Macaca mulatta: one gene and its partners. The main gene of each other region encodes a partner of the protein of the gene in region 6 in a complex. Links are inferred from orthologs where the notes say so. Each region holds a gene or a part of one and is shown on either strand. Other genes may lie near its edges. The genes, in order: CEP290, B9D2, TMEM216, AHI1, TMEM107, TCTN1 and TMEM231.

What was found.
Region 1: TCTN1 (region 6) and CEP290 share a complex: the UniProt entries of both Homo sapiens proteins name them as parts of the tectonic-like complex. The link is inferred for Macaca mulatta from reciprocal best matches to the Homo sapiens genes TCTN1 and CEP290.
Region 2: TCTN1 (region 6) and B9D2 share a complex: the UniProt entries of both Homo sapiens proteins name them as parts of the tectonic-like complex. The link is inferred for Macaca mulatta from reciprocal best matches to the Homo sapiens genes TCTN1 and B9D2.
Region 3: TCTN1 (region 6) and TMEM216 share a complex: the UniProt entries of both Homo sapiens proteins name them as parts of the tectonic-like complex. The link is inferred for Macaca mulatta from reciprocal best matches to the Homo sapiens genes TCTN1 and TMEM216.
Region 4: TCTN1 (region 6) and AHI1 share a complex: the UniProt entries of both Homo sapiens proteins name them as parts of the tectonic-like complex. The link is inferred for Macaca mulatta from reciprocal best matches to the Homo sapiens genes TCTN1 and AHI1.
Region 5: TCTN1 (region 6) and TMEM107 share a complex: the UniProt entries of both Homo sapiens proteins name them as parts of the tectonic-like complex. The link is inferred for Macaca mulatta from reciprocal best matches to the Homo sapiens genes TCTN1 and TMEM107.
Region 7: TCTN1 (region 6) and TMEM231 share a complex: the UniProt entries of both Homo sapiens proteins name them as parts of the tectonic-like complex. The link is inferred for Macaca mulatta from reciprocal best matches to the Homo sapiens genes TCTN1 and TMEM231.

The regions. Positions count from the first base shown.
Region 1 is NC_133416.1:95,330,402-95,333,901, forward strand, and holds part of CEP290 (centrosomal protein of 290 kDa), read right to left. Parts: intron 3,304-3,500; coding exon 3,196-3,303; intron 2,980-3,195; coding exon 2,845-2,979; intron 1,650-2,844; coding exon 1,383-1,649; intron 756-1,382; coding exon 648-755; intron 29-647; coding exon 1-28. UniProt on the Homo sapiens protein: Involved in early and late steps in cilia formation. Its association with CCP110 is required for inhibition of primary cilia formation by CCP110.
Region 2 is NC_133424.1:52,507,080-52,511,222, forward strand, and holds the start of B9D2 (B9 domain-containing protein 2), read right to left. Parts: upstream 2,801-4,143; 5' UTR 2,587-2,800; intron 2,493-2,586; exon of another isoform or gene 2,416-2,492; intron 2,173-2,415; 5' UTR 2,169-2,172; coding exon 2,081-2,168; intron 1-2,080. UniProt on the Homo sapiens protein: Component of the tectonic-like complex, a complex localized at the transition zone of primary cilia and acting as a barrier that prevents diffusion of transmembrane proteins between the cilia and plasma membranes.
Region 3 is NC_133419.1:12,654,266-12,658,390, reverse strand, and holds the start of TMEM216 (transmembrane protein 216), read left to right. Parts: upstream 1-1,325; 5' UTR 1,326-1,345; coding exon 1,346-1,358; exon of another isoform or gene 1,359-1,372; intron 1,373-1,912; coding exon 1,913-2,014; intron 2,015-2,563; coding exon 2,564-2,656; intron 2,657-4,125. UniProt on the Homo sapiens protein: Part of the tectonic-like complex which is required for tissue-specific ciliogenesis and may regulate ciliary membrane composition.
Region 4 is NC_133409.1:40,570,889-40,574,388, forward strand, and holds part of AHI1 (jouberin), read right to left. Parts: coding exon 3,024-3,500; intron 1-3,023. UniProt on the Homo sapiens protein: Involved in vesicle trafficking and required for ciliogenesis, formation of primary non-motile cilium, and recruitment of RAB8A to the basal body of primary cilium.
Region 5 is NC_133421.1:9,692,387-9,696,419, forward strand, and holds TMEM107 (transmembrane protein 107), read right to left. Parts: upstream 2,801-4,033; 5' UTR 2,709-2,800; coding exon 2,622-2,708; intron 2,446-2,621; coding exon 2,378-2,445; intron 2,295-2,377; coding exon of another isoform or gene 2,277-2,294; coding exon 2,176-2,276; intron 1,339-2,175; exon of another isoform or gene 1,240-1,338; intron 1,073-1,239; coding exon 976-1,072; intron 731-975; coding exon 661-730; 3' UTR 406-660; downstream 1-405. UniProt on the Homo sapiens protein: Plays a role in cilia formation and embryonic patterning. Requires for normal Sonic hedgehog (Shh) signaling in the neural tube and acts in combination with GLI2 and GLI3 to pattern ventral and intermediate neuronal cell types.
Region 6 is NC_133416.1:117,801,403-117,804,902, reverse strand, and holds part of TCTN1 (tectonic-1), read right to left. Parts: intron 1,141-3,500; coding exon 1,020-1,140; intron 1-1,019. UniProt on the Homo sapiens protein: Component of the tectonic-like complex, a complex localized at the transition zone of primary cilia and acting as a barrier that prevents diffusion of transmembrane proteins between the cilia and plasma membranes.
Region 7 is NC_133425.1:70,906,483-70,910,657, forward strand, and holds the start of TMEM231 (transmembrane protein 231), read right to left. Parts: upstream 2,801-4,175; coding exon 2,662-2,800; coding exon of another isoform or gene 2,568-2,661; coding exon 2,398-2,567; intron 1-2,397. UniProt on the Homo sapiens protein: Transmembrane component of the tectonic-like complex, a complex localized at the transition zone of primary cilia and acting as a barrier that prevents diffusion of transmembrane proteins between the cilia and plasma membranes.

The DNA of each region.
Region 1 (3,500 bases), about 22 Mb from region 6:
CTGGAGTGGGAGACTGTTTCATTAAATCCTATAAAATATGAATATATTAGCAAACAGGCATGTATATTTCAATGCCATACTTATTCTATATTTTTAAATTGGTTCTTCAAATGATCAAAATACAATATCTAATCTAAAATTTAATGATTTAACAGATAATGAAGGCTTAAAGAAGACAGGAAATATAGACCTTATTCTTTGTATTTACAATAGCTAACAAAGTGTCTACATGTAGCAGGAGATCAATAAATGTTGACTGAATTAATGAAGTAAGGCTCAAATATGCTAAGGTTATACATTAAAAGATGAAAGACACATCATTTCATACATATGGAACAGAATGGTCAAAAGAGGCAAATATGAGCTGAATTCCGGAAGTTAAATATAGGTAAACTTATAGTGAATAGAATTTGAAAAGAAAGGCAGGTAAGTTCATAGAAGATTGAGTATATGGGTAAGGAGTATAAATATAATTTTGTGAACAGTGATGAGCTACAGGAGGAAGAATGATCAGAGCTACATTTTCAGAAGATTACTTTGGCAACAAAAAGCGTAACTTGTATTCCAAAAAAGGAGAAGATAACTGAATTTTAATGTATTTGGTCTAAAAATCAATAAAGAATGGAACAAAGTTCTTAGAATCTTACCCAAGCTGTTTGTTTGAATTTATTTAGTGAACTATCAGCCTGTAGTTCTAATTTGTGATGAAGAATATGAAGGTCTTCCTCATGTTTCTTCACAATTTCTCTTTGCTCCTGTTTTAAAGAAAATCAAAACTATATCTTAAATTGTGATTAAAATAAATTCACATTTTGAAGACCTTATATATTTTCTCTTTAATCTTCTAAAATTCCTTCGAGATGAGGAAGAAACAGTATCTCCATATATGTATGTATTTAGACCGGTAGGCATGTTCCCTCGCACAGTGTTCAAGTTGACAGGCCCAGCCTCAGTTCATAATTTATTCTGAACATTAGAATAACACGTATCTATCATCTTTTAACTTATTTCTAGAAAAAATTAAATGTCAGCTTTCCCCCACAAAGTTCTAACAAATCTGATTTCTACTGATTACCAGTGTGATATATTTCATTCCCCCCTATTGCCTCAACCCTCACCTATAAACTAAATTAAAATATTTTTCAAAATCATGTGATTTCACCATGATAGCTACTCCTGGTTTAGTTAGTCAGTGTATAAGAGAGATACATTTACACAAACTGCCAGTTTTACTGATAGAGGTGTAATCCAATCACATGCAAGTCACAGTTCTTAAATAGAATCATTTGAAAGCAAGAAAATAACTACCACTTTAAGGTAAAATATTTAGCATTTGCTTAAAAAAACTAATACATGAAACAGTATAACTCATAATAAAATACCTCTCTGGCTTTTTCTAGAAGATGTTGATACTTCTTTAATACTTCTTCTTTTTGATTTAACCTTGCTTGCATGTTTGCAATGGTTTGATGAGCAATTTTCAAAGTGTGGTGAGATTTTGGTTCCATCTCTTTTCTCCCTAGCTCAGCTATGAGCTTTTCTCTTTCTGCAGTGGCAGGCAATCGAAGCCTCAGTTCATTGATTACTTTGTCTCTTGACAGTATATTTTGTTCTGCTAACCTTAAAGCAGATTCTTTCTCTTTCAGTTTCTGCAATGATTAAATCACAATAGATAATTAAAGTATCTTTTTTTCCTTCATCTGAATTTTAGATTAGTTATTAGCAAAAAAAAAAAAAAATTCACTTTATTTTTCACATCATATGTACAATAGCCATTTGATATTTAATAAGGTTAAACTAATTCTAATTGACAACAGTTATTTGCATGCTTATTTATAAGAATATTACATATGTTAGAAACTTCATTGTTATGATGAAAATAAAATTTAATTAAGGTACTTTATCAAGATATTACAGTTAAGAACTATAAAAGTGTGGTGGTATGAGATTTAGGAAGAATATGTAATAAATTATTTCTTTTATTTTGGTCCATTGACTAGCAGAGCATTAGAAGACTAATCTATAAGTCAGTTAAGTACAAAACTGGAATTTTAGTGGCCCAAGTCAATAAATTACTATTATAAAATCTGCAGCTTATTAAAACAAAAGAGAAAAAATCAGAAACATTTTTACTCTTCAAGAGGATTAAGGTGGGTATTTTAAATTAAGTAATTCAATGGCAATTCACATAAATGACAAATCTTACAATTACTGAAGAAGATCTAAGTTTTACTTAAAAATGTACAGTTTTACTTGAAAACTCCTTTATGTATATTTTTAAATGTATTTGTAGTTAATATATTTAGATGAAAACTAAAATGAAAATCATATTCAGTTTACATTATTTTCTGAATAATTTAATGCAGATGACAGATTTGATCACCTACTAATCAAATTCAAGAACTAGGTTAAAACAGAAAGTAATTTCTAATTTACCTTCAGCCCTTTAAAGGGCTGAAGTTTATAAAAGGGAATGAACTGAAAACTGATTCATAGATTATATAACATGCACTTCAAAGGAAAACCAAAAAAATAAGAATAAAGAGATCATATAAGGGAAGATAATATACTGCTCATAGAGCTACAATTAAATGCTTTTTGTTTCCTTTCATATTCAGTGTACCTAAAGGTAACAGGAAGTAATTAAATAGTGAATTCAAATTAACTATATCTGCTGTTCATTATCAGCTATTAGAAACATTATAGGAGAATAGAAAAACAGTGAAATTAGCAAGAGATTCATCATTCTATGCATTGTCCTCATAAAGAAATATTATTTAGAAAGCCCCCCAAACATACCAAATAATACCAAGTAATAATCAAAATGCAAATTCTTCTAATTACCTCTTCTAGTGATCTGCAAGTTGCCCGTGTTTCTAGGATTATTCGAATATTCTCCTTAATTTTTCTTAGCGCCATCTCAAGTTGATTTGGAAGGGGCAAACTAGGGTCAGGGATTGATCCTGTAGCTTCTTCAAACTATTAACAAATAGTATGTTTTTTAACAAAGCAGTGGCAGCATTGAGAGTAACTATTAATATTTATAGCTGTATGATAAAATATAGATTAAATCACTCATATTTTAAATAGACAATATAACAACCAATTAAAATTACATCTGATACAGGAATCATTTCTGTGAGCTAACCCTCTAGTCTATGCTACAGAGTAGCAAACAAGATTCATCATTCATACCTTTTGTGCTGCATTTAGTATTTCATTTTGCTGACGGTCAAAAATGTCTAGTTGACGTTCCAGGTCAACTTCTCTTTGATCCCAGGCCAGTTGTCTTTCTTCATGAAACTAAAAAGAAAGACAATTTATGTCAGACATATATACAAAGACATCAGGCACATAACAGGCATTTTATATATATTTTCTTATGTAATCCTCACAACACATTGAAGATACTGTAATTATTTTCCTTTTGTGGAAAAAAATACAAACTCAGAGAGGTGAAGTAACTTGTGTAAGATCACAGAGAAAGGCAGATGTGAAGT
Region 2 (4,143 bases), on a different chromosome or scaffold from region 6:
TTTTCCATGCTGGTGACATAGCTGTGACTATAGCAGACCAAGGTCCCATCATGGAACTGGATTCAGACTCAGCTCTAACTGCAGAGCCCAAGCCGTTCATCCAACTGCCTCAGTATTCTTGGCTGGGTCAACACCCCCAGCAACTCCCTGAAGTAATAAAAATCAGGTTAGTCATTACTCCCTTCTGGGCTGAGTGAGGGAAGCACCAGGCCCTCAGTCAGGCTGCTTAAAAGCAAGATTTCCCAACAGCCCTATGAAGAACAGATGAGGAAACTGAGGTTCTAAGAGGGGATGGCATCTGCCCAGGGTCACAGAGAAGGTGAGTGGTGGCGTGGAACCTGGAAACCAAGTCTGACTCCAGAGTCTGCCTCTCTTCCATCAACTGGAGGGTCCTGATTTCCTGGGAATCTCAACTTCTACCTCACTTACCTGTAGAATCAAAAAGGACCAGAGGCCAGGGGCAGTGGCTCACACCTGTACTCCCAGCACTTTGGGAGATCTAGGCGGGCGGATCACTTAAGGCCAGGAGTTCGAGACCAGCCTGGCCAACATGATGAAACACCATCTCTACTAAAAATACAAAAATTAGCTGGGTGTGGTGGTGGACGCCTGTAATCCCAGCTACTCGGGAGGCTGAGGCAGGAGAATCACTTGAACCCAGGAGGCAGAGATTGCAGTAAGCCGAGATTGTGCCACTGCACTCCAGCCTGGCGACAGAGTGAGACTCTGTCTCAAAAAAAAAAAAACGGCCAGGCGCGGTGGCTCACGCCTGTACTCCCAGCACTTTGGGAGGCCGAGACAGGTGGATCACGAGATCAGAAGATCGAGACTATCCTGGCTAACACAGTGAAATCCTGTCTACTAAAAATACAAAAAAAACTAGCCGGGCATGGTGGCGGGTGCCTATAGTCCCAGCTACATGGGAGCCTGAGGCAGGAGAATGGCGTGAACCTGGGAGGTAGAGCTTGAAGTGAGCCAAGATTGCGCCACTGCACTCCAGTCTGGGCAACAGAGAGAGACTCCATCTCAAAAAAAAAAAAAAGGGACTAAGACTCAGGCCTGAAGACATGATAATGCCAAATGGCCACATCTGTTTCATGGACATTTATCTGTGCCAGGCAACCACATACCCCAGGCTTTACAAACAAGACCCCATCAAAGTCTTGTATGAGCCAGGCAAACACTGAATGGGCACTTCATATTCCAGCCCTATTCCTATTCTAAGTGCTGTTGATATTTGTTTAGTACTCATGACAACTTCAACAGGTAAATATTTCTATTACTCTCATTGTACAAACAGAGAAGTCGAGGTGAAGAGAAGTGCCCAAGGTCACATAATCAGCCCAAGAGTGCATTAACAAGCAATAACTAGTTTTGAACCCAGGCAGTCTGTGCTCTTAACCTCAAACCTGTGCTGCTTCTTGGCTGCTATTAGCTTCACTTTCAGACAAGGAAACTGAGGCTCAGAGAGGTCAAGTCCAAAGGTCTCCAATTAATAGAAGGGAGAGTTAGTATTTAAATCCAGATCTGGCAGCCCATGGCCCTAACCATTACACTATACCATGACTCTACAGGGCCTCAGTTGGGGAAGCATGAACAAAATTACTTTCCTGGGATGTGGTGGCTCATGTTTTTAATCCAAGCACTTTGAGAGGCTGAAGCGGATGGACTGCTTGAGCCCAGGAGTTTGAGACCAGCCTGGGCAACATAGCGAGACCCTGTCTCTACAAAAAGTTTAAAAATTAGCCACACTTGGTGGTGCGTGCCTGTAGGCCCAGCTTCTCAGGAGGCTGAGGTGGGAGGATCACTAGAGCCCAAGAGTTCGAGGCTGCAGTGAGCTATGATCACACCACCTTACTCCAGCCTGGGCGACAGAGAGAGACCCTGTCCGTAGCCCCTGCACAAACGAAAAAACAGATGGGAGCTTGAGACTCACGTGGACAGGGTGTGGGCTAAGCCTGGAGTACAGAGAGCTGATGGAAGATGAGGTTAAGGCGCTGCGTTAACAGGTCGAGGAAGGAGCATGCAGCCTCTAGGCTAGGGGTCTTGGTGTGGAAATTAACCAGGCCTGGGGGAATACCTGTGTGAATGCCCCACTTGCAGAACAGGCTACTTTCCGAGAAACCGCTGGCCCCCATGATCTGCCCGATCACGTGCACCTCAGCCATGGCCCTGGGATGGGAAAAAATATAATCACAACCCTGTGAGGTAAGTATATTATCTCCATTTGACAGGAGGGGAAACTGAGGCCCAGCAAGTAAAGGGTAGTACTAGGATTCCAAGCTAGCTTCCTCACACCCCTGAGGCTGAGGTCTTGACCACAGATCCTAATTGCCAACCCATGAAAGCCTGGAAAAAATGGGGGGACCCTTGTCTGGGGGGAACCAGCATTTAACTCTGCGAGGTCTAAAATACCTTCTTTGGGTTCAGGTCAGCGGAAAGCCCCGCCCACGAGCGAAAAGACCCGCCTTCCGCGTCATGTCAGCCACCCCGCTTCCCTCACCCAGCAAGCTCTATAAGGCGCATGCGTTGAGTTCCGGGCCGACTTAGCCACGCCTCCAAGCGCAGCGCATGCGTTATTCCTACCTTAGCGCACTTAACGGTTAGGAGGGGCGAAAGCGGCAACGGGGGTTGTAGTTCATGGGGTTGAGTTGACTCGTTTTTTTCTCCGCGGGCGCCTACCAGGCCTGGCTCGCGCCTTTCCCAGGACCTTCCCGGCTGCGAGAAATGGAATCCGCGATATTCCGCGTCCGCGCTCGCCTTGGGTTCCGTGGTTGTTGCTGGAGCAACAGCAGGCTCCTCCCCTGGCTTTGTACTCGCCCTCCGCGCCACTGATTGGTGTTAGCCGTCCCCGGGAGGCGGGGTGAAACTGTGATGGACATTTTCCTCCTCTCGCTCCATTTTGGGAAAATAGCGTCTCTCCAGCTACGGCAAAGGGTTCCGCCATTTTGGCCGTGGCTAGGAAGCTGCCATGTTGAGTGTGGCTGAGGAAGTTTGAGTGCAGTTTCTCCCAGATGTCCTCTTTACCAAAAAAAGCAAATCCGTAACTGCTCCGTGCTGCGTGAGGACCCCACCGAAGAGCTCTCTATGGTCCGGGATCACAAATCAGAGACTGAACTATGACCAAGGAGGAATTCCTTCCAGGACCTCATGTACATCCCCTACCTCATAACTGGAAAACAAAGCAAAAAAAATCACTCCTCATTCACAGAGAGTGGAGAAATTGGGGAGTGGGTTCTGCTTCCGTTTTAGAGTTCCCCTAGGTTTTTCAAGGACAAGGAAGGAAGTTGGACTTACCCAACTTCTACCAAGCTACTACCAAGTTCACTGTTAAACTGCTTGAGTCTGAGCAAGGAACCGTTGGGGTAGCGAAGAGAAATGAGGAACTGGGATCCCCTTATTTGCAGAAAATCCTCTTTTCTATTGATTGATTTCTCAATCAAGAAATGGAGATGTCCCTGGATGCCATCATAGATGCCATCATTTCCCACATCAAGCCAGTCATCAGGTCCCATCAAGACTCCATAAAAGGGTCGCACTGTGTAACCCAGGCTGGAGTACGGTGGCTTGATCACAGCTCACTGCAGCCTCTGAACTCCTGGGTTCAAGGGATCCTCCTACCTCAGCCTCCCATGTAGCTGGCATCACACACATGCGCCACCACGGCTGGCTAATTCTTTTTTTTTTTTTTTTTAAGAGATGGAGTCCTGCTGTGTTGCTGTGTTGCCCAGCCTTTGTCTTGACCTCCTGGGCTCTAGCTAGCCTCCCAGTTTGCTCTCCCATACTGCCGGGATTACAGACCTGAGCCACCCAGCCAGGCCAATAGACACGAGTATTTAAAAGCCACCCTTGGCTAGGCTCATGACTGTAATCCCAGCCCTTTGGAAGGCTGAGGCGGGAAGAGCTGTTGAGGCCAGAAGGTCGAGTATAGTGAGACCCCCATCTCTACAAAAATAACAAAATAATGCATATATCAACTAGTGAAATATTCCAGTGAATTGTTTAATATAAATGTTATCCTACTGAAATGTTGCCCCCTCCTTATAATTTTGGATTTTTGTTAGTTTTTTTTTTTCTTTTTTTTGAGATGGAACCTCGCCTTGTCGCCCAGGCTGGAGTGCAGTGGCGCGATCTCAGCTTACT
Region 3 (4,125 bases), on a different chromosome or scaffold from region 6:
AGATGGTGAAACCCCGTCCCTACTAAAAATACAAAAAAATATTAGCTGGGTGTGGTGGGGGGCACCTGTAATCTCAGCTATTTGGGAGGCTGAGACTGGAGAATCACTTGAACCCAGGAGGTGGAGCTTGCAGTGACCAGAGATAGCGCCATTGCACTCCAGCCTGGGTGACAAGAGCAAAACTCCGTCTCAAAAATAAAATTAAATAAATAAAATAAAGCCTAGTCACCTTCCTCAGGTTACCTGGTTGGAGCGTGCCATCTGTTTCCGGCTTTACCCTGATTGACAACGGGCTAACAGCCAAGTCAAGTCAACCTGAGTCCTCTCAAAACCCTTCTTTTTGCACTTCCCCGCCTGCAGCAACACGTTTTTGTTTGTTTTTTTGTTTGTTTTGAGACAGAGTCTCACTGTCGCCCAGGCTGGAGTGTGGTGGCGCAATCTCGGCTCACTGCAACCTCCGCCTCCTGGGTTCGAGCGATTCTCCTACCTCAGCCTCCCAAGTAGCTGGAACTACTGGCGCGCGCCGCTACGTCTGGCTAATTTTTGTATTTTTAGTAGAGACGGGGTTTCGCCATGTTGGCCAGGCTGGTTTCGAACTCCTGACCTCAGGTGATCCATCGCATCGGCCTCCCAAAGTGCTGGGATTACAGGCGTGAGCCACTAAGCCCGGCCAGCAACACGCTCTTACCGCTGCAAACCCGAATCAGGCAGGCTTTGAAGCCCAGCTCACATTTTGAAGCCCGTCTCTTGGAAACTGACTTAGATTTCCACCTGGGAGCACTTTGTCCTCTCAGCTCCCACTGCACCACTTTAGGGATCGCGTGGTGACTCGTTTCAGTTTATTTACGTGTGCTCCTGGAAAGGACGCTCTATTTCCCTAGTGTCTCTACCTGGTAGGTAAATAGGCCGCAGAAAAGACCAATGCTAACTCCCATCCCGCATTTGCAGAGATCCGTCGCTCACACCGTTTCTCGTCTTCCGTCGAAAAATGGGAATCGTGGGAGTAGGACCTATTTGCCAGTCTCCTGGTAACATTGTCACAACTGGCCACTTCCGCCCAACGCCCGGTAGCCCAAGGGCCTCCAGGGTCCTACCCCACAACCCCGAGCTCCTGCAGACGACGGCGTCGTGGGCGGTCACTGTTTTCCCTTAGGTCTGGAGAGGGGACATCCGAGCGAGGGCCACTTGCGGCCTGGCCCGAGCTCGTCCCGCTCCGGGTGACCACAGAGTGCCGCGGGCGGGCAGAGGGGCCGGAAACCCCGGCCGCTCAGTCCCTGTTTCCGGCAGCGGCGCGCTGCTCCGGGAGCAGCTGTGGCAGCGTACGCAGTTTCCACGGGGACTGAAGATGGCGCCGCGAGGTGAGATTCCGGAGGTGTGTGAGTCGCTGGTCCCTTTCCCTTTGATCCCTCCCTCGCACCTCTGTCCCAGAGCTTGACCTAAACCCTCCATTCTGTAGCGTTAGGGACATCGCGCCTCCCTGGTCCAAAGCGGGCTTCCGCGGACCCGCCCACCCTGGGTCCCTGAAGGTTTCAAGGTGCGTGGGTCAAATAGCCGCAGATCCTTGGCTGGGCCACTTCTAGGATGGCTCAGGTACGAATCTGTTGGTCTCCACGCCCCAACTTCCCCTCCCAAATAGTGACAGGGTGAGATCTTTGAGATGTCTGTCAGCTGCGAGTTACCTCTTAACTTTTACTCCTGAAGCCGAAGAGTCGAGTTTCGCGGTGATTCCTGGGAAACGAGTGAAGCCTCCTCCACATCCACCCCGTACCCTCATTATCAGCAACCAGAAGTGCCCCTGGGTGGCCGGTCCCATTAGTTGCGGCGTCTGGTTTCCCCAGTTAGACACCAACCCATAGGAGCAGAGAGGGAGCTGCCTTCCTGCCCATCCCACTTTTCTGTGCTGCTGTTTCAGGTAAACGGTTGTCCTCCACCCCGCTGGAAATCCTGTTCTTTCTGAACGCGTGGTATAATGCTACCTATTTCTTGCTGGAACTTTTCATATTTCTGTATAAAGGTAAGGAAGGCATGGGGCTTGACGACAGCACCCCTTCCCCACTTCAGCTCAGAGCCAACTCCGACCAAGAACCTTCTTATTTTCCGCTCTTTTCTGCCCCCTGCGGTTCTTTGTCGCTGCAAGGCAGGCCTCCTCATCAGATGGCTTCTTTGAGTATGAGTATGGCATCCCCTCAGCAAGAATTTCTTGAGTTTGGGAAATGTGGGCTTCTCCATTCTGACTCTGCCCACATCACTGGTCTTTGCTGAGCTCCACTGTAAGCCCATTGATGACCCTTAGAAACTATTCAGTGGCCCGTGTACCCATGTGCATCCACTCATTCTGGAGAGAGGAGTCCCCAGAGTCTTTTGGAGTTAGGAGTAAAATGGCATAATAATGAGCCTGGGTTGCACTGTGAGTTTATGTATCCTGCAGCTGTAATAATGCCCACATTTCACTAGCTCATGGAAAGCTGAGACTGATGTCCTTGAGACTGATGTCTCAAGTGTGTGGCAGTTCTTGTGGATGCTGTTTTATGCTATTTGCAAACACTGGCTTTTGTATTCGCAGGTGTTCTGCTACCATATCCAACAGCTAACCTAGTACTGGATGTGGTGATGCTCCTCCTTTATCTTGGAATTGAAGTAATTCGCCTGTTTTTTGGTGAGTGTTGTCCAGAGAATATTTCCACTCTTTATGAGACAAGCTGGTATCTCTAACTTGATTAACAAGAAAAGTACATCACCTAGGTTGACTATCAGAGACTGGATCTGTATATCCCATTACTCCCTCTCTGAAGTTTCAAGTTGCTGCTTCATACATTGGGGTCAGGATTTACCTGTTTGTTGCTCTGTAAGGCTAGAGATGGGCAATAGAATGTGATATTAGATGATTCCTTCCCAGCTGCCTAACAGCAAAAGGAGTGCCTGGTTCTTCTCACTAGTATTCTTGGGGGAGCAGGTTCAGTTGTAGCTCCATGTCAGGGCAGGCAGCATATCCTGCACAGATCAGTACTAAGATCCCTAACAATACTCTGAATAAGGATCTCTGTAGGATTTTTTTTTTTTTTTTGAGATGGAGTCTCTCTCTATCGCCAGGCTGGAGTGCAGTGGCACGATCTCGGATCACTGCAGCCTCTGCCTCCCGGGATCAAGCGATTCTTCTGCCTCAGCCTGCCGAGTAGGTGGGACTACAGGCGTTCACCACTGCTCCCAGCTAATTTTTGTATTTTTAGTAGAGACGGGGTTTCACCATATTGGCCAGGATGGTCTCCATCCCTTGACCTTGTCATCCGCCTGCCTTAGCCTCCCAAAGTGGTGGGATTACCACTGCACCTGGCCGGATTTTTGTTTTTTTTTTGGAGACAGAGTCTCACTGTGTCTGCCAGGCTGGAGTGCAGTGGCACGATCTCGGCTCACTGCAACCTCCGCCTCCCGGGTTCAAGCGATTCTCCTGTCTCAGACTCTTGAGTAGCTGGGACTGCAGGCGCCCACCACCATGCCTGGCAAGTTTTTGTATTTTTAGTAGAGATGGAGTTTCACCATGTTGGCTATGATAGTCTCGATCTCCTGACCTCATGATCTACCTGTCTTGGCCTCCCAAAGTGCTGGGATTATAGGTGTGAGCCATCACACCTGACCGGATTTTGTTTTTTAAACATTTACTTATTTGAGACAGGATCTCATTCTGTCACCTAGGCTGGAGTACAGTGGTACGATCATAACGCACAGCAGCCTTGAAGCCCTGGGCTCAAGCAGTCCTCCAACTTCAGCCTCCTGAGTAGCTGGGACCACAGGCATGCAACATCATGCCTGGCTCATTTTGTGTTTTTTGTAGAGACAGTGTCTTGCCTCATTGCCCAGGCTGGTCTGAAACTCCTGGCCTCAAGCAATCCTCCCGCCTTGGCCTCCCCAAGGTGCTGGGATTACAGGCGTGAGCCAACATGCTTGCCCTGTAGGACAAGTTTTATAATCCCAGAAATACAGAGCAAAACCCTTATTTGTTAGAATATGTCATCCCTGAAATAAATGGTTTTTTTTTTTTTTTTTTGAGACGGAGTCTTGCTCTGTCGCCCAGGCTGGAGTGCAGTGGCCGGATCTCAGCTCACTGCAAGCTCTGCCTCCCGGGTTTAC
Region 4 (3,500 bases), on a different chromosome or scaffold from region 6:
GAAATTGAGGCAATAATTAATAGCCTACCAACCAAAAAAAGTCCAGGACCAGATGGATTCACAGCTGAATTCTACCAGAGGTACAAGGAGGAGTTGGTACCATTCCTTCTGAAACTATTCCAATCAATAGAAAAAGAGGGAATCCTCCCTAACTCATTTTATGAGGCCAACATCATCCTGATACCAAAGCCTGGCAGAGACACAACAAAAAAAGAGAATTTTAGACCAATATCCCTGATGAACATCGATGCAAAAATCCTCAATAAAATACTGGTAAACCGGATTCAGCAACACATCAAAAAGCTTATCCACCATGATCAAGTGGGCTTCATCCCTGGGATGCAAGGCTGGTTCAACATTCGCAAATCAATGAACATAATCCAGCATATAAACAGAACCAAAGACAAGAACTACATGATTATCTCAATAGATGCAGAAAAGGCTTTTGACAAAATTCAACAGCCCTTCATGCTAAAAACGCTCAATAAATTTGGTATTGATGGAACGTACCTCAAAATAATAAGAGCTATTTATGACAAACCCACAGCCAATATCATACTGAATGGGCAAAAACTGGAAAAATTCCCTTTGAAAACTGGCACAAGACAGGGATGCCCTCTCTCACCACTCCTATTCAACATAGTGTTGGAAGTTCTGGCTAGGGCAATTAGGCAAAAGAAAGAAATCAAGGGTATTCAGTTAGGAAAAGAAGAAGTCAAATTGTCCCTGTTTGCAGACGACATGATTGTATATTTAGAAAACCCCATTGTCTCAGCCCAAAATCTCCTTAAGCTGATAAGCAACTTCAGCAAAGTCTCAGGATACAAAATTAATGTGCAAAAATCACAAGCATTCTTATACACCAGTAACAGACAAACAGAGAGCCAAATCAGGAATGAACTTCCATTCACAATTGCTTCAAAGAGAATAAAATACCTAGGAATCCAACTTACAAGGGATGTCAAGGACCTCTTCAAGGAGAACTACAAACCACTGCTCAGTGAAATAAAAGAGGACACAAACAAATGGAAGAACATACCATGCTCATGGATAGGAAGAATCAATATCGTGAAAATGGCCATACTGCCCAAGGTAATTTATAGATTCAATGCCATCCCCATCAAGCTACCAATGAGTTTCTTCACAGAATTGGAAAAAACTGCTTTAAAGTTCATATGGAACCAAAAAAGAGCCCACATCTCCAAGACAATCCTAAGTCAAAAGAACAAAGCTGGAGGCATCACGCTACCTGACTTCAAACTATACTACAAGGCTACAGTAACCAAAACAGCATGGTACTGGTACCAAAACAGAGATATAGACCAATGGAACAGAACAGAGTCCTCAGAAATAATACCACACATCTACAGCCATCTGATCTTTGACAAACCTGAGAGAAACAAGAAATGGGGAAAGGATTCCCTATTTAATAAATGGTGCTGGGAAAATTGGCTAGCCATAAGTAGAAAGCTGAAACTGGATCCTTTCCTTACTCCTTATACAAAAATTAATTCAAGATGGATTAGAGACTTAAATGTTAGACCTAACACCATAAAAATCCTAGAGGAAAACCTAGGTAGTACCATTCAGGACATAGGCATGGGCAAAGACTTCATGTCTAAAACACCAAAAGCAACGGCAGCAAAAGCCAAAATTGACAAATGGGATCTCATTAAACTAAAGAGCTTCTGCACAGCAAAAGAAACTACCATCAGAGTGAACAGGCAACCTACAGAATGGGAGAAAATTTTTGCAATCTACTCATCTGACAAAGGGCTAATATCCAGAACCTACAAAGAACTCAAACAAATTTACAAGAAAAAAACAAACAACCCCATCGAAAAGTGGGCAAAGGATATGAACAGACATTTCTCAAAAGAAGACATTCATACAGCCAACAGACACATGAAGAAATGCTCATCATCACTGGCCATCAGAGAAATGCAAATCAAAACCACAATGAGATACCATCTCACACCAGTTAGAATGGCGATCATTACAAAGTCAGGAAACAACAGGTGCTGGAGAGGATGTGGAGAAATAGGAACACTTTTACACTGTTGGTGGGATTGTAAACTAGTTCAACCATTATGGAAAACAGTATGGCGATTCCTCAAGGATCTAGAACTAGATGTACCATAAGACCCAGCCATCCCATTACTGGGTATATACCCAAAGGATTATAAATTATGCTGCTATAAAGACACATGCACACGTATGTTTATTGCAGCACTATTCACAATAGCAAAGACTTGGAATCAACCCAAATGTCCATCAGTGACAGATTGGATTAAGAAAATGTGGCACATATACACCATGGAATACTATGCAGCCATAAAAAAGGATGAGTTTGTGTCCTTTGTAGGGACATGGATGCAGCTGGAAACCATCATTCTTAGCAAACTATCACAAGAACAGAAAACCAAACACTGCATGTTCTCACTCATAGGTGGGAACTGAACAATGAGATCACTTGGACTCAGGAAGGGGAACATCACACACCGGGGCCTATCATGGGGAGGGGAAGGGGGGAGGGATTGCATTGGGAGTTATACCTGATGTAAATGACGAGTTGATGGGTGCAGCACACCAACATGGCACAAGTATACATATGTAACAAACCTGCACGTTATGCACATGTACCCTACAACTTAAAGTATAATAATAATAAATAAATTAAAAAAAAAAAAAAAGAAAGCAGATGTAAGTGAGTAGTTCAGGATAGAGACAAGGTTCTGGCTCAGCCTCTTACTAGTTCTGTACTTCAGTTTCCTCATCAGCAAGATAGGAAGAATATTACTTTTCCTCATAAGATTGTCATAAGAAATAAATGAGTTAATTCTCGTAAAGCACCTAGTACATAGTAAGGTGTTAGTAAAAGCTAGGTGTTCTTATCTTAGTGGCAATGTCTCCAAATAAAAGCCTAAGAATTTTCTTTGTTAAACCACAGATAATATTCAAACCCTGATAATAATAGAGTGTTTTTCTAAGAGGATATTTTACATTTATCAATGTAAAAATACCTTGTTTCAGCTTTAGAGAAGGCTGGAACTTTCTTTTTCTTTTTCCTTTTTTCACTGATTGATTTGTCGTCATGGAATAAAGTATCTGAGGGAAAGTAAGTCAACTGTTCTTTCAGTTTTTTTCTTATTTTCTTCTTAATCTCCTTTGCCATTTCTTCAGTTACATGGCGCTGATATGCTTGCATCAGTTCTTCGTCCTCTTCTAAATCATTCTCTTCTCTTCCCTCATTTGCCTTCTCACTTTTCTGATGATCAAGGCCTGGCTGTGGCTTTGTACGCGCTTTCTGGTGTGTAGAATCAACTTCCTTCTCAGGAGTTTCCAGTTTCATATCTTGTGTAGTCAACTGGGACACCGTCTTTACCACCTTTTTATTTGGCTTTCCTTGTTTGTCTTCCTCTACACTAACATCATCATTAGGATTTTCAGTTGCTGACTGTGTGTTCCTCGATTTGTTTTTAGCGACTCTCATGGTCTTC
Region 5 (4,033 bases), on a different chromosome or scaffold from region 6:
TGCCCTCCAAAAGAGGAACAGGTAAGGATTATCCCACCTGACGATATTTCTAAATAGCCGACATTCCGCACTCAGTCAAAAAGATTCCGTTTACAGCTAGGGTGAGTTCACGACGCGTTGGTATAAGTAACCCTACTACTTAGCATCCTTCCAGTTGTATTGCCATATTTGCTTGCACATTTTTAAAAGAATTTTTTCGTTCGGCTGCCGAAAAGGAATAAATTTCTTTTTCCCAGAATGCTCCGATCATTTACGTGCTGGACGTTCTAACTGTAAGCACTTTCTATTTACATATCTCCGCCCACTCCCTTCCGCCAGACAACTACCGTAATAACCAAAATAGAAGCGATACCAAGTATCTTACGGTCTGCAGAACTAGAAAATAACGTTGCTTCTTTTTTTTTCTTCAGTAGTTTCGCCATTTCAATTGTGCCCTGAAAACTGTATATGTCTTAATCTTACTACAAAACATATTTTATTACAAACCACTAAATACAATGCGGATAATCCCAGACTCAAGACGTAATTATTCCAACACATATCCTCCAGCAGAAGCAGTTTCCGAGGGGAGGACCGAAGCCTATGCCTTCCTTCTTCCAGGAATACGAAGCGGCCCTTGCCCCTGTAGCCTTCGTCCTTAGGTTCCCGTCATGAAGGTGCTCAGAAAGGCTTCTTTTTCAGCCCAAAGACGGTGACGAATAAAGTCATTTCAGTGACAGCTGGAAGGGCACTACCGAGGCAAGTGGTAGATTCAGAAACCCGTTCAATATAAATACCCAAATCTCCAAACCAGAGACCCCACCCCTGAAAGTGTAGGACAGGTGGCATGGGGTAGGGAATGAAAATTCAAAAGACTACAGGATGTTAAGTGGATCTGGTATCTCCCACATAGAGGAAAGGGCTGGGTAGGGGAAAAACCCTCAGGTTTAGGGTCAGCCTTCCTCCCTCATTCCCGAATATTGGATGCTACCACACCTGCAGAAGACAAAAATGTACCAATACGTAGTGCACTCCCAACGCTCGAATATGAAGAAGGACAGGGCCACGGATGCACTACAGTGAGCCCCAATGGCTTGAGAAGGCACCACAGTTAAGGAAAGTCTTTGGATCGACAGATAGTGAGGGGTCAGAAAAGGCCAAAGGCCAGTGGTGGGGTTGGCATCTGCATTCAGGTTCATCGTTTGCTCCCTCACCATATTGCAAGGGCTAGAGTCAGCATCCCCGACTTCTGAATTTTAGGACAGTCATGTGAGGAGAGACCAGAAGTGACTGCGCAGATGGGATCTCAGGCTACCCTACTCCATATCTAGGGGCCAGCCTGGATCCTTCAGATGAGAGGTAAGAGTAGGCTCTCCTGCTATGCCACACAGGAGTGCTGACAGCGACTTGATATGCGCTGGAATCAGCCTCCAGTGTCCTGGTCCTCCTGGTCCACAATTCTCTGACCCATGTGCCTGGCTTCCGTTGCCTCTTCTGAGTTCCCAATGTGCTTTATATCTTTCGTTTTTTGCCAGAGTCTTGCTCTGTCGCCCAGGCTGGAGTGCAGTGGCACGATCTCGGCTCACTGCAACCTCTGCCTCCTGGGTTCAAGCAATTCTCCTTCCTCAGCCTCCTGAGTAGCTGGGATTACAGGAGTGCACCGCCACGCCCGACTAATTTCTGTATTTTTAGTACAGACAGGGTTTCACTATGTTGGTCAGGCTGGTCTTGAACTCCTGACCTCAGGTGATCCACCTGCCTCGGTCTCCCAAAGTGCTGGCATTACAGGCGTGAGCCATCGCACCCTGCCTGTGCTATCTTTACACACTCCCATAGCACACTGCTTATCACACTGAATTACAGATGTGTATCTACCTCCTCATGGTTAAAAAAAAAAAAAGTGGAGTTTTTATTATTACTATTTATTTTGTAGACACGGGGTCTAACTATGTTGCCTCCTGCGCGGGCCTCCCACAGTGCTGGGATTACAGACGTGAGCCAACGTGCCTGGCCAAAAACTGTATTTTACTCTCATTTCGGAATTTTAAGTGCCTAGTAAACAGCAGGATTTAGCACATGGTTGAAGATCTTTGAACTGGAGAGACTGGCTACAGCAGACACTATTGTGTCAGGTGGCTGAAGGGAGTCCTGATAGAAATGGGTCGTGTGGGAAAGGTGGGCAGGCAGAAAGGATACAGATGAGGCTCTGGGTGCTGTTGAACATGGAGACTCCTGAGAGGAAACCGGCCAGCTCCACTGCAAAGAGGCCCAGGGTGACAGAAAGCGCGGCCACCAGCCTGCAGAGAGGAAGTGGACTGGCCCAGGCCTTTGGACTTCTTCTAAGACCCCTCCACTCCCACCACCTCTTCGTTCTGGCCACCCCGTCCCAAGAGCTCACTGAATGTCCTGCTTGTCATACTCCTCGGGGGTGAACCTGAGAGGCAGGCAGGCCTGAATGTTGCTGTCCTGGGAGCAGGGCAGAGAGGAAGAGAAGTGAAAAAGGGGCAGGCTGCTGGGCAGGCCTAGGGACGGCGGAACACGAGAAAACCCAAGTGGGTAAGACACTGGGAGAGGGGCAGGGTGGGGCGGGGACGACTCCGAGATGGGAATGGGGGCGGACGGAGGGCAGCCGTGGGTCTTACCCGGGACCAGAATAAAGTGATGACGACCACCAGATGCGCCAGGAGCGTCAGGAAGCGAGAGGGCACAAGCCCTGAGACCCGGCCCATGGCCCTTGGGAACAAGAGCGGCGGTCTCTGAGGCTGGAAGTTCAGAGACTGCGACTCCCGCAAGTCCACCAGCAAGCGGACAAATCTAGACGAACTCCTCCTTTCCGCCAGCTCAGGCACCGCCCAGTTGCCTTGGTAACCGCGTACGCGGGCGTGCTGCCGCGTTCTCGGAAAACCTCGCGAGAGCAGTACATTCTCCATCTGCTGTGGGTCTTTCAGGGCTAACTCAGGTCAGGGGTACCCGAAGGAGCTTCTAACCCAATGGCTGGGTACCCGTGCGCAGCCAGGCCCTTTGTTTCTCAGAGGGTGAGGGGTGGCACAGCCCCGCAGCGCCCGATCTGCCCACGCAGGGCCGACGAACGGAAACCCACCCTGGCCTAGCCTGGGGACACCTCTGCTTCCGCGGTTGCCCACGCCGGGAGCGGCCCCCAGCCCCAGCTACGCTGCCCAGTTGTGGATCACTTGAGATCACTCCCACCGCCACGCCGGGCTGAGGTCCCCGCCATGCCGAAGACTCACACCCGCTCCCCTTCCTCCTCTCCTCATGCCTTTAACTTCCCACCAAGCTGGGCCTGAGAAACAAGGGACCCGAACGTGGAGAGGCCGGTGTTCCTGGACTGCTCGGCAGTTACAGATTGTCACAGAGCCCCTGGTTGTCTGAGGACCCTAGGCCTGAACCTTCCTTGAGGAAGACTGATTTCTCTCAGACTACTTTGCTCAGTTTGGTGAAGGATTTGCAGAGTGCAAAAAGTGGTCAGCGTCCTTAAACTAGCGTGGGAATAAGAGCAAAGCAAGGTGGCTGGAAAGGTGGGAGTGGACGAAGGGAATGGTACAGTCCCTGCGTCTCTGGGAGGCTTGGAGCCTACGGGAAGGGAAACTCAACTTAGATTTCTTTATCTCTTGGAGGTGCTGGACCTCCGACATTGCCCAGCTACAGTCCAGGAAGCTCTTATCACCGGCGACGTCATGACCTTTGGGCCTCAGCGCAGGTCCCTGCAGATCTGAAAGTTCTTCTCTAATTGCTCAGTCAAGTCCCATCCTCAAGGAAACTCCCGGCCCATTTCCCAGGAGAACAATATCTTCCTACTTCCCACTCGACGTCTCAGTGCCTTTAGCCAGACTAAAGTACAAGCCCAAGAGGCATTTCTCATTCCTTCAACAAATATTTTTATATATTTATTTATTACCTAGTAATAGTATTCTAGTCAGGGAGATCAACAACAGACATGCAAACAAATAAATCCGTAAGATAATAGGTGCTACAAACAGGGATACGCGGGCCAGGCACAGTGGCTCACGCCTGTAATCCCAGCGCTTTGGGAGGC
Region 6 (3,500 bases):
TGCCAGGTATTGTGGCGTGCACCTATGGTCCCAGCTGCTCGGGAGGCTGAGAAAGGAGAACTGCTTGAAGCCAGGAGGCAGAGGTTGCAGTGAGCCACTATCGCACCACTGCACTCCACTCTGGGCGACAGAGCGAGACTCCACCTCATTAAAAAAAAAAAAAAAAAGGCTTGAAATCTCAATTATAAGAGATCATTCAGAACAGATTATTTCTTTACCTTATAATCAGCTGGGAATGTCATTTTTCATTGTTCTATACAATGCGAACTGTGAGAATTCCTGGTAGATTTACATATCAGAAAAGTACAAAAGATTTCTTATCTAATTTTTTGTTACAAGTACTATGTCCACAACAAAAGCTGTGAAATTAAACTGCACTTTTCACCCTAGGCTATACTAATTCACTGATACAAAAAATGTGACCACTGTCTGTTTACAACTCAAATTGAAATGTGATTCAATCTCTAAACAAAGAGGTTTCATTACAATCTTTTAATGTACATTCTCTCTTCTCTTTTGCCCGCACAGTCACCTGGTTGAATGCAGATAAGGGACAGCTACTTTTTTTTTTTGAGACGAGTCTCACTCTGTCGCCCAGGCTGGAGTGCAGTGGCGAGATCTCCGCTCACTGCAAGCTCCGCCTCCCGGGTTCACACCATTCTCCTGCCTCAGCCTCCCCAGTAGCTGGGACAGGTGCCCGCCACCACGCCTGGCTAATTTGTTTGGATTTTTAGTAGAGACGGGGTTTCACTGTGATAGCCAGAATGGTCTCAATCTCCTGATCTGGTGATCCACCCACCTCAGCCTCCCAAAAGTGCTGGGATTACAGTGTGAGCCACCGCACCTGGCCAGGGACAGCTACTTTTTTACATATTTGTTTGGATAGTATGGCTTCAGAACGATGCAAAACACCGGAAATCAGGTTTGGGTTTTTAAGCCTGGGAAAGTTTTCCCTTTCCCCAAATTGTATTATCCTGGTCAAATTTTATCAAAATTGCATGTGTCATACGTAAACTTACGTGACAACTGGAACTGAGCAGGCAGAAAAGACACTGAAATCCACAGAGCTGCAGTCAGGATCACAGCAGCAGTTGACGTCACACTGTGCTGGGGACAAGTCACAGACACACAGAGCAGCAACTGCACAAAAAAGAGGGGTAGGATCCAGAGCATCACCATCAGCAGGTGGTGACTGCCCCCTGCCACCACAGTGTACCATAAGTCAATTTCATACAAAGGGTCCATTTTATTTTTCCTATTGCATTTTGGGGGAAATTTGTGAAGTGGAAATGAGTCAGTTTGAGCATTCCACAATTAGAGGTTTCCCCAAAGTTGCTAATGATCTGACTCGCTTGGAAAGTTCTGTTAGTGCTTTGCCTACAGAGATGCTGATTTGATAAGCTGAATACGAAACCCAGGCATTTGCAGCTTTCAGAAACTTTCCAGGTGATACTTATAATTAGACAAGTTTAAGAACCAGCACGCCTAAACCATTTGCCTGACCATAGAACCACCAGTTTAAAACTCCAAAGTCCTTAAGCCTCTTCTCCGGAGATTACGAGTCAGAGGAAGGGCCCACTTAAACCTTCAGGAAAGAGGTTTTTCAACCTTGCCCCTCTCTTCATGTATAACCTGCTGCTTTAAAGCTGAACTCATATTCACAGATTCTTGGCCAAGAATCATAACGGCTCAGGTGCTCAGAATGTCTTTGGTGATTTAGACAATAAGGTTTGAGGGCAGGGTAGGAATCTCCCCCACGTCACAACTTTTATTTTATTTTATTTTTAAAGGAGTTTCAGCTCTTGTTGCCCAGGCTGGAGTGCAATGGTGCAGTCTTGGCTCACTACAACCTCCGCCTCCTGGGTTCAAGCTATTCTCCTGCCTCAGCCTCCTGAGTAGCTGGGATTACAGGCATGCACTACCATGCCCGGCTTTTTTTTTTTTTTTTTTTGTATTTTTAGTAGAGATGGGGTTTCACCATGTTGGCCAGGCTGGTCTCGAACTCCTGACCTCAAGTGATCCACTGGCCTCAGCTGCCCAAAGTGCTGGGATTACAGGCGTGAGCCACCGCTCCTGGCCAACTTTTAATTATTAATAAGGATGATTTTTCTTTGCCGCTTTGTAACAAAAATGATTATCTGGATTTTCAATTCTCTATTTTATTCTGTCAAATAAGGAAGAGAAAGCCCTTTTAAAAAAATAGAGAATGAATTTATGGTTGCAATTATTGCTGGAAGGGAAGAAGTAAGATCAACCTTCAATCATATCTGTAATGTTTTCTTTTTCAAAAGAAGATTTCAAGGCCAGGCATGGTGGCTTACACCTGTAATTCCAGCACTCTGGGAGGCGGGCAGATCACTTGAGGTCAGGAGTTTGAGACTACCCTGGCCAACATGGTTAAACCCTGTCTGTCTTAAAAATACAAAAATTAGCCAGGCATGGTGGTGGGCACCTGTAATCCCAGCTACTCAGGGAGGCTGAGGCAGGAGAATCACTTGAACCCAAAAGGCAGAGGTTACAGTAAACTGAGATCACACCACTGCACTCCAGCCTGGATGACAGAGTGAGACTCCATCTTAAAAAAAAAAAAAAAAAAGAAACTCAAGCCAAAAAACAAAAATAACGAAAAAGGAATCTGAAGCAAATGCTGCTAGTGTCCACCCAACATTCTTTTTTGTACGTATGAATTATTTCACGATAAAAAGGAGCTTTAGAAAAATGTACCCCAGAGCAGCCAGACATAGTCTCAACCTCAGGAGGTTGAGACCAGCCTGGCCAATATGGTAAAACCCCATCTCTACTGAAAATACAAAAATTAGCCAGGCATGGTGGCATACACCTGTAGTCCCAGCTACTCAGGAGGCTGAGGCAGAAGAATCACCTGAACTCAGGAGGCAGAGGTTGCAGTGAGCCGAGATCGTGCCACTGCACTCCAGCCTGGGCGACAGAGCAAGACTCCATCCCCTCCCCAAAAAAAAAGAAAGAAAGAAAAAAGAAAACAAAAGAAAAATATATCCCATAGCTCACGCCTGTAATCCTAGCATTCTGGAAGGCTGAAAAGGGTGGATCCCCTGAGGTTAGGAGTTCGAGACCAGCCTGGCCAACATGGTAAAACTCCATCTCTACTAAAAATACCAAAAAAATTAGGCATGGTGGCGCACAGCTGTAATCCCAACTACTTGGGAGGCTGAGACAGGAGAATTGCTTGAACCTGGGAGGTGGAGGTTGCAGTGAGCTGAGACTGCGCCACTGCACTCCAGCCTGGGTGATAAAAAAAAAAGAAAAGAAAAAGTACCCCATAAAAGGTATAATGCACTCTGGAAAAAAATGTGTGAGGTGAAGGGGAAGGTTTTGTTAATACACGATAATTTCTTAGTCTAAGACACAAAAGCTTTCCCCCTAAAGTTTAGAGTGCTTCTAATTGAGAACTCTTCTATGTGCTTAGTAAAATGATACAACTTATGCATGCTAATGTAAAAAATAAAAAGTGCTTTAGGTTC
Region 7 (4,175 bases), on a different chromosome or scaffold from region 6:
CCACACTGGCCTTGAACTCCAGGGCTTAAGCAATCCTCCTGCCTTGGCCTTGCAAAGTGCTAGGATTACAGGTGTGAGCTATCATATCTAGCTGCAAATATTTTTATCTCATTTACTTGATCATTTAGAAATGTATCTCCAGGTCTTGAGATAACATTTGCATTGAAAATTCTCAATTTCTCAGTTTTAGGCATTCTCTATTGAGTTCCCACAAGGAAAGATGATTTAGCTTCTTCTCTCCCCCAACTCCTCCCACCATCCCCTATCACATTCTCAATACCTTTCTCATTACCCCCAACAGAGTTAAAATCTCTTTTTAGTCAACATTCAGTGTTCATATAATTAAGACTATGTAAATCCTATTCACAACTCTCATAAGTTTTCAGTTCTCAGTTTTCCTTACTTTTCATTTCCCTGCAGTTAATAATGATTTGCTTAGTTTTCTATGTACTTACCTAATTTCATCAAAGAGCTGCTATTCCAATTCCTCACAATCTGATGTTTAAAGGCATACGATTTAGTCAAAACCTTGTTCACAGAAATATTGTCCCTAGGCCAGGCACGGTGGCTGACACCTGTGATGCCAGCACTTTGGGAGACCAAGGCGGGTGGATCACCTGAGGTCAGGAGTTCGAGACTAACCTGGCCAACATGGTGAAACCCCTTCTCTACTAAAAATCCAAAAATTAGCCTGTAATCCCAGCTACTCGGGAGGCTAAGGCACGAGAATTGCTTGAACCCAGGAGGTGGAGGTTGCAGTGAGCAGAGATTGCAGCACTGCACTCCAGCCTGGACAACAGAGCAAGACTCCGTCTCAAAAAAAAAAAAGAAGAAAAAGAAAGAAAGAAAAAAAGAAATGTTGTCCCCAATAGTGAAAAAGTCAAAACAAACCTCAAAAAGAATATGGCTGATTAATAAGTATTGATACATATACAAAACTGGGCCTTCAATTTTGGTCATTATATCTACCTGTAACTCTATATTATTTTAGAATGAGCATGCACTTTTGTAATCAGAACATAAGAACATTCGTAAAGTAACAGGAGAAAAGTAACCTGAATCATATTAGGTTGTTGCAAAAGTAATTCCGGTTTTTTTGCCACTACTTTTAATGGCAAAAGCCGCAATTATTTTTGCGCCAACCTATTACTATTCTTTTTTTTTTTTGCAGTTATTTATATGACCAATTGGATTTTAAAAATTTATTTCTATTTATTATTATTATTTTTTTGAGACAGAGTCTCGCTCTGTCGCCCAGGCTGGAGTGCACTTGCGCGATCTCGGCTCACTGCAAGCTCCGCCTCCCGGGTTCACGCCATTCTCCCGCCTCAGCTTCCTGAGTAACTGGGACTACAGGTGCCCGCCACCGCGCCTGGTAATTTTTTGTATTTTTAGTAGAGACGGGGTTTCACCGTGTTAGCCAGGATGGTTTCGATCTCCTGACCTCGTGATCCGCCCGCCTCGGCCTCCCGAAGTGCTGGGATTACAGGCGTGAGCCACCGCGCCCGGCCCAATCGGATTTTTAAAAACAATTTTATTTAGTTGCTGGGAACAAGTCTGATTTTCTTTTCTCCTCAGCTATACAAGGTTGGCTTGTAGGGCAATCATCTTAGAGATGTCTGAAGAGATTCAACTTTGAAAGAAGGAAAACCGTAAGTGTCATACTTCTAAAGGAAAACGTTTTCAGAAAATGAGTGAAAAGGAGTGACTATAAAGGAAGCATTCGCTTATCTCAAAGCAAATACTAAATTACAGATTCCTCTCAGCACTCTACTGATGAAAAATTTAAAAATAAATAAATAAACTACAGACAGTAACATGCTTCAATTTCATCCCGACAGCTTCAGGATGACGCAGTCTCCAATGGGACAAACCCAGGGAGGCGTGACTCGGCCATAGCGCGTTCTGGGAAGGCCGCTTAACCAATCAGCGCCTTGGTTTCCAGGGGTCAGGGCTCCATAAAAATGCCGCCCTTTCCGCTCCTACAGTGGTGTGATGCAGAAACGCCGCGACAGAATGGGGTTACCTACATTAACAGCGCGCTGCCTTCAAGGCTCCTAAATGGACTTTCACAAACACCCTCCATCAGGCCAGGCCCGCGGGTGTGACGGGGGCAGACGCAGGCTGCCTCCACACCTCTGGACTCTGTATCAGGGCGCATATGCTGACAGCGTGGCTAACTTTCTGGGGGCCGGGGACGTCTGGGAGAAGCAGAATGAAACAGAAAATCGATTCCCTAGGTCCCAGGAGATGAAACGCCACCTTTGCGGGTTCGCGAGTCCTTAGGATCCAAGCTGGGTTCCCCAGGGCCGGGGCCGCTCGCCCCACATCCTCATTCCCGTCCCCGTCCCCACCCCACCGCCCGCTTTGCCCCAGGCCCAGGCGGGAACCACGCACCGAAACGAGCGGGACGCGCAGGCGATCCCCCTGCAGCCGGTTGAAAGCGGGGAACGTGCTCCAAGCGAGGAACCCGCCGCTCTCGGGTCCCAGCAGGGCCACGAGCAGCACCTGGTGTTGGAAGCGCACGGTCGGCTGCTCCTCGTAGCTGCTCCTCTTCAGCCAAAACCCTGAATTAAAGAAGGTGGGGAGGCCGTCAGGGAGGCCGGCCCCGGCCGAGCGCGCCCGGGGAGTCGCGTGACACAGCGGCTGGGGCAGGCTCACCGTGGCTCCGGAAGGCCACCAGCAACGGCGGGATGTACGTGAGCGCAGCGGCCAGCAGCAGGAACAGCGCGGCTTTGGAGCAGAGTCCCGCGCGGTAGCTGCGCTCGACCGGGTGAGAGAAGAGATCGTAGAGCGCCATGAGCACCGCGCGCCGGCACGCCGCGAGCCGGAGGACCAAGTTTGGCTTCTCCTGGTTGCCATCGCCTCGGTCTCCACGGCAACCGACGGCTCCCGGAAAGGAGCCAATAGCAAGGCCAGACCGAAAGGAGCCAGCGGCGAGGGCGGGGTTAGCGGGCGTGGCGCCGCCGGGGACTGCCGGCCTAGCTTTTCAAGCTGTGTCCCTTTGCGTAAAGGCTGGGCGGCGATAGAACGTTTCCGTGGACCAAAGTCGTGGCTGTTGTCTGTGTTAACATTTGTGTAAAATAAGATGCCCATAAAAGTTGACTTGAACACTGAGGAGGAAAAATTAAATATTTAAATTTGAACTGACATGGACACAAACAATGGTCACCAAGTTCCGAAACAGGTTGTGGGAGCCCCTTGAGGCGTTCATCCAGCGCTGTTTCGCAGAAATCTCTATTTCGTTCTATTCCTATACGTTAGTTATTGAAAAACAACAATCACAAAAACAAGTTGACCTTTTTGTGTTCCTTGAGCCCAGCCACGAAGGGCCCTCGTGACTGGGCCTCATGTCAGACAACATGTTACAAAAAGAGCTAGGATCCCAGACCACCCAAAGCTTCATGACACCTCTTCTCATCTGGGCACTGACTGAAGAGTGGCCGGCTCTGGAGCTCAGGCTCTTGCTTCCCAGTCTGGAGGTGAATCCTCCATAGTCTGATGAGTGTAAATATATATATGTCTTTTTCCTTCTCCTCTTCCCATTGCAATTTGCTTATATCAATCTGCTTATTATATTAATTTGCTTATTATAATATCTGCATTGCCATTTACGTGGGATAAAGCTTGCTTACCCTTAAAGGTATTGTGTGTGTGCCTTTTCTTCTCCCCTCGCGCTCCTGCACACAACAAACACCTGCTTTTGTGTCATCTGTTAATCCCCAGTGTAGTTCCTACTGAAATCCACTCAGTCACAAGCCTGGCCGCGGTCCTGGACCTGGTCCTGGGCTAAGACCAAAGCCAGGTGTCTTTGCTCCCAGATTTTCTCTTGCTTCCACTATGCTCCAATGCAAGACAAGACACGGAAACACAAATCCCCTGGCTCTTGGAGGGATAGAGTGGAATATTACAAAGCTCTGATGCACTTTGTTAACCCTGTGTTGGGTACAAGCTCAGCGGCGAGTTTTATAGGAAGCTGTGGTCCTCCCCAGAGATCACTGGCATATTGCTTAATTGAATGCTTACACCCCCCACCGCCCCCAACCATATTTCGAACATGGTAGAAGGACTTTAAAAAAAACAACTATGGTCCACAGCCAAGTTCTTCATCAAATGGCCCTGAATGGCTGGGCGCAGTGGCACATGCCTGTAATCTCAACACTTTGGGAGGCCAA